Saccharomyces cerevisiae S288C: one gene and its partner. The protein of the gene in region 1 binds, or shares a complex with, the protein of each later gene. Each region holds a gene or a part of one and is shown on either strand. Other genes may lie near its edges.

What was found.
Region 2: MRPS17 (region 1) and QRI5 share a complex: the UniProt entries of both Saccharomyces cerevisiae proteins name them as parts of the mitochondrial small ribosomal subunit.

Annotation. Positions count from the first base shown.
Region 1 is NC_001145.3:635,651-639,008, reverse strand, and holds MRPS17 (mitochondrial 37S ribosomal protein uS17m MRPS17), read left to right. Parts: upstream 1-2,004; coding exon 2,005-2,718; downstream 2,719-3,358. Other genes in the region: GCV2 (glycine decarboxylase subunit P), read right to left, coding at 1-1,509; YMR187C (uncharacterized protein), read left to right, coding at 3,025-3,358. UniProt on the Saccharomyces cerevisiae protein: Component of the mitochondrial ribosome (mitoribosome), a dedicated translation machinery responsible for the synthesis of mitochondrial genome-encoded proteins, including at least some of the essential transmembrane subunits of the mitochondrial respiratory chain.
Region 2 is NC_001144.5:550,430-553,105, forward strand, and holds QRI5 (mitochondrial 37S ribosomal protein mS38 QRI5), read left to right. Parts: upstream 1-1,840; coding exon 1,841-2,176; downstream 2,177-2,676. Other genes in the region: MSS51 (Mss51p), read right to left, coding at 221-1,531; HMX1 (Hmx1p), read right to left, coding at 2,295-2,676. UniProt on the Saccharomyces cerevisiae protein: Component of the mitochondrial ribosome (mitoribosome), a dedicated translation machinery responsible for the synthesis of mitochondrial genome-encoded proteins, including at least some of the essential transmembrane subunits of the mitochondrial respiratory chain.

The sequences.
Region 1 (3,358 bases):
ATCAGCTTTTGTAGTTGTTTCATCAAGAGCCAAGGAAATAGTGGTGGTGTCCACGGCAAACAAATTGATATTAAATTCTTTCAAGGCCTTGTCCAATAACTGCTCGGAGGATATGCCATTACCTAACTTTATAGTCAAAGTATCAAACCATGTTTTATTAATTAGTTCGTGAGGGCAACTGTCATTTTCGATGGCATTTGCCAATATTGATGTTAAGCTAAATATCCTCCTGGAAATATTCTGTAGGCCCTTAGGACCGTGATAAACACAGTAGCTCGAAGCAACATTAGCCAGTAAAGCTTGAGCGGTACATATATTTGAAGTTGCCTTATCACGCTTGATATGTTGTTCTCTTGTTTGGAGGGCCAACCGCAAGGCCGTCTTGCCTAAGCGGTCTTTAGAGATACCGACAATTCTACCTGGAATTTTTCTGTTTAATTTATCAATAACAGCGAAAAAAGCAGCATGAGGACCACCATAACCCATTGGGACACCAAATCGTTGAGAGGAACCCAGGACGATATCAGCACCGTAATGAGCAGGTGGTTTTAGAAGTGTCAAAGCCATTAAATCTGAGGCCACAGAGAGCAAAGACTTGTGAGAGTGTAACGCATCAGATAACTGTTTCATCGAGTCAGGCGGTAAGATTGAACCATCTGTCGCTGGATATTGAACCAAACAACCAGATACGTCGGGGTTCTTTAAAACATCCACAGCTTTCTTGATATCCGAACAGTCAACTTCAATAATTTCAATATTGAACGGCTTGGCTCTGGTGTGAAGGACACTCTTTGTTTGCTGGTGTAATTTTTTATCTATTACGTATTTTAGTTTCTTTTTTCTGGAAATATTGAATGACAAGAGCATAGCTTCTCCAGCCGCTGTACCCTCATCCAACAATGAGGCGTTCGCCACAGGCAAACCAGTCAAATCTGAAACAACCGTTTGAAAGTTTAATAGCGCTTCTAGCCTACCTTGAGAAATTTCGGGTTGATAGGGCGTATAAGAAGTATACCATTCTGGACTTTCTAGCAGGTTTCTTTGTATAACCGGTGGTAAAATCGTACCGTAGTAACCCTTACCTATGAAATTTTTAACTTTATAGTGGTTCTTATTGGCAATCTTTTCTAGATGTTGAAGCATTTCTTGTTCACAGAATCCCTTACTAGGAGCTTCTAGTTTCAAGGGTCTTCTCTTCAAAATATTGGGAGGAACGAGCTCTTCTATAAATGCGTTTAAATCGCTATAACCCATTGTTTTTAACATTTTCTTAACGTCGCTAGGAGAAGGACCTAAATGACGTCTAGCAAAAGTATCTAGCGGTCTATCAATGTTTTTCAAGTCAGGATTGAAAATCCTGCTGTACTGTGTAGACGTTATGTCTGTAGCGGCTGTTTTGAGCAAAATAGATTGAGAATGGAATGATCTAGTCCTCGCTAATGAAACATAATTGGTGCTTGACCTGACAGTAGCCCTACAAAGGAGAGCAGTCACTCTTGTCCTAAGCATGTTATCTTCCTGGTATTAGGAAACGTTTTTCCAATAAACTGTGGTTAGTTGATGGTTAGATCGCGCAGCAATCAATACAGTAAGATTGGTACACACGAGAAAGACTAATTCACTGGAACTTGAAGAGAAGAAAATTGTGCCACTCGAGCCTGCTATATATACATCCATTTATATTCGTTGGAGATCTTTCGACTAGCTTATCAAGGTCCTTCACAGCTCAATGCTGACTTCGATGACTCCTCTGAGAGTCATGACTCCGAAAAGGAGGAGTCTATACCTCAAGAAGAGTCAGAGATGTCGGGTAACGATTCAACCGGGTAACATGATTGTTATTTCATAAGATTAGAATTCTGAAGCAATTTGGGATTGTGCCAAACCAATGCGAGCATCAAACTGTTAGAGGAAATCCACAAATAAGGCCAAACAGAAGTAAACTCAGGGAGTTGAATTCGGGTTAGAGATTTCAAAAGTCAAATCAAGATCAGTTAAACTGTAATGGCTCGCCAAAATTTTTTAGGCTTGGTCGTCTCCCAAGGGAAGATGCAAAAGACGGTTAAAGTACGTGTAGAAACAAAAGTCTTTAATAAGAAAATCAACAAGGAGTTATTTCATAGAAGAGATTATTTAGTGCATGATGAAGGTGAAATATCAAGGGAGGGTGATTTAGTAAGGATAGAAGCGACGAGGCCGCTTTCAAAGAGGAAGTTTTTTGCCATTGCAGAAATTATTAGAAACAAGGGTCAACAATTTGCATTATACGAATCAGAAGCTCAGTTAAGCGTTGCAAAAGAAGAAGCCCAAAAGGCAAAAGAATTTTTGGATAAAAGATCAGTGAGGGAGAATAAACTAAATGAAAAAACAACCCTTTTACGTGATATTAGGACCATCCAAGATGCTTTATCTAGCGGGTCAACGCCGAAAGAGTTATTGGAGATTAAACAAAGGTACGGCATTCAAGATTTTTCACAAGAAACAGTGAGGCAACTTTTACAGTTAGACATCTCTGGATTGGAGGTTAATTTGGAGAAACAAAGAAGTCTCATTGATCGTATTCAAACGCGATTATCCGAATTGTTGTCGAATGATCTAAAATGTGATCAATTTTTGAAGGATCATGGTGTTGAGGATCCTTTGACCTTGAAAAAAAACATCAAAAAAAATTTGTTAAGAAAGCACGTCATGATGGATATGCAACAACCAAGCCAGTAAATAAAAGAAAGAGGAAAGCCGAGTGTCATATTTTCTCAACTAAAGCACTACACTCTGTAAATATATACAACTACAAGACTTCGTTACGTAAATAGTAAAGTGTTATGTTTTGACTTTAAAATATTCTAGTGAAAAGAACGATGTTTTTGATTTTCTATCGTTTAACGCATTTATATATTTTCAGGCAAGTGATATCGAAGATGTGAGTACATCGCTCGTCCCCATCGTCAAAAACAAAAGTAAATAAAAGAGCTCTGCTCTGATTTTACAAACAAGAAAATTCCAAGGAAATAGTCCAAGTTTTATATGACCCCACCTCATTTTTTTTTATCTCTCATAAAAAAAAGATGCATATGCTGGATATGTTTGGAAGAATCCACATATGACTCTACATGGCTACAGCACACGTGCGGTTGCAACTTACAAATTCATAAACGCTGCTATATAAGATGGCTCTATCAAATGCATGTTGAACTTTTTCTTCCGAACACAGTGGACCTACCAAAGGATGCTGATTTACCTATAATCACCTGTTTAAAATGTCTCGTTGATGGGCACCATGATTTTATGACGACTTTCTCTCTTACAGAAATATGGGAAACTCGTCCCATTTGGGGGCAAAAATCAGTACCGTTTCAAA
Region 2 (2,676 bases), on another chromosome or scaffold:
TCCGAAAAGGAAAGGATATGTCATGGCAACTGTAGTCAGTATACTACTGTATAGGTGAATGGATTAGTTAATGGACTATTAGGTCAACCATTACGAAGGGGGTGGGGTTAGTATTTTTGTATTTACAGATATTGAGATATCATACATAAGAAAAAAATTATAATAACGGTAGAAAACGCATATATTTATAAGATGAAAGTTGGGCATGGCCTCCCGATAATCATTGTCTCTTGATTGTATGGTACCTTTTACCTCTGAACCCGGCAATATACATGTTAAATTGATAAACTTCTTGAGGATTCATGTCATTTAATTCCCACTTCGTACTTCCAAATACGTTTCTGACGGGCTCCATTAAGACATCCATTTCCTTACCGTATTTGGATTTGACAAGATTTATGTCGTCCGTTAGGTCTTTCTTATTGAAACCCGTTGTGAAGATAGCACATTTTGTTTCCAGTAATGCCTTCATAGTTTCACCCATCCATGAACCGTGAGATTCTGGAGATGCGTAGCCTGGATGGAAAGTAAAAAAGACATCCATGTATGGATCGTATGGGAAAAAATCTTGAGCCTCATGGAATACTTCGAAAAAGTTTGTACGATAAATGAATTTCAGAGTCTCGTCTACTCTTTGTACTACCGGCGTAGTAGACTTGACGTACTCCTGTTTATCCCTTTTATACAGGCATTCGGGTCCAATGAAATGTATTTCGAAACTCTGCTCTGGGAAAAGAAACTGGAGCTGTTTCCAAACGTGGCCCGGCAATTGAGCTTCAGCACGTGCACCTAGGATGAAAATTCTCATAGCACGGTTCTTAGTTGTGGTTGGTAAAGATCTATTCTCCAACGGATATAAAGTATACCTGAGAGCAGCCAGAGATTTTAGACCTTCTAAGGTGATAGGCCCCTTTGGGTTCAATGAATACGGGGAAAATTTGTGCAGCAAAGACCCAATCGTAATTGGATAGCTTAGCATCTTTGTGACTGCGGCTAATTGGAACTCTGTATCCATGGAATAGAATGATCTTGTGTAGAAAAACAAATCCCAGTTTGTTAGGTTAACGGCCTTGTCGTAGCCTTGCTGTTGGGGAAAATCAAACTCCGGGAAGGGTCTACCGCTTCTTAAGTCATGCTCATAAATATTAACTTTTTTCAGGATTTCATATTTTTTAGAATCGTGATATGCTTTATCCATCTCCCAAGCCTCTCGTGAGTGATGAGTCGGAATTCCTGACAGAGGACAAGTGTAGTTAATATCTTTGCCGGTAACAGGGCAGTGTGCTAGCGTTCTAATCTTGGCGGCCCTTTCACGCAAGTCCACTGAGGGAGACTGATCCCATGGATGGAATCTGTTCTCCGGAGTAGGATCTTCTGGAGAGGGAGGAGGATCCAATCCAAGGGCGTTCCTAACGAACCCCATGAGGTGACGACGTGTTTGGTGAGAGACAACTAGCCTGTTGTGTGGCGACTTCCTTAGCAGATGGAAATATAGCTGAGTAGCACCCGAAGGAGCATATAGCACGGTCATAGTTCTGGAAGTACAAGTTTGCCAAACTACTTTAAGTCCACCTTCGCAATATCTACAGTGTTCTGCGCTTATAAAGTGTAAAAAAACTACAACCAAAGGCCCGCCCTTAGTAGTTGACCAAATATCTACTATTGTCTCTTGTCAGACTCCTTTGGATTATTTTCTTCGAGCCGCTTTTTCGTAGCGCATGATAAAAAGAGCCCTTTCCCCATACTGCACACTTAAGTGAATGCCAAATATAATATCAAGAGCGAAAGGCGGTTGAGTTCCAGCCAAGACGAGCACACACGACACCAGAACGAGATAAACATGCTAGGAAGGGCATTGCGACCTGGGTGGCTGGGCATTACTAGGACGGTGGTTAAGAAACCAAGTTGCGGGTCCTACTTTAACAGAACCTTTCAAACAGCAATTAACACTACAATGCCTCCCATGCAAGAGGGCATGCTGAGTACAATGATGATGATGACGGCTACGGCAACAAGGATCACTGGCACAGTCAGTGAGCCATTAAACGGTTCAAATATAGTGATGCAACTCGATTCAGTGATGAGAAAGAGGAAAAAAAAGATGAAGAAACACAAACTGCGGAAAAGAAGAAAGAGGGAGAAGGCAGAAAGAAGAAAGCTATCTCAGGGTAGATAATAGGGCTGTAAAAACCTCTCACATGTTTTTCTCTGCTGTTTTTCCTTCCCTATTCTTCATATTTTGATATTATTTCATGTATATATTATGTTTGTATTTAGACTTTTTTTTTTATACGTTATACTATGCTAAGAAAACTCTTTACCAAGAAGTAAAGAACCCAGATCGCGATAATAGAAAGCACCAGCAGCATGACCGTGTGGAGTGCTCTTCTAGTAGCAGAATCCTTGTTGAACATCCATTCTTCGTACAAGTACGTAATACACTTGAAGCTGAACTTGCCCATTAACTCGCGACGATTCAACTCTCCAATTTCTGCAACGATGTTGAAGTTCCAATCAAAAATGCCTTCTGCGACGCTAATGATCTGCAACTTTTGTGCTTCGGTCAATTCCGTCCTGGTGGCCAGCTCATAGTTCTTCTTGTATTCCCATTTCAAGCGTGTTTCTTCAGTGGGACCCAGATCGCTGAAGGTGAAGAAGTTTGTGCCCTTTTTGACC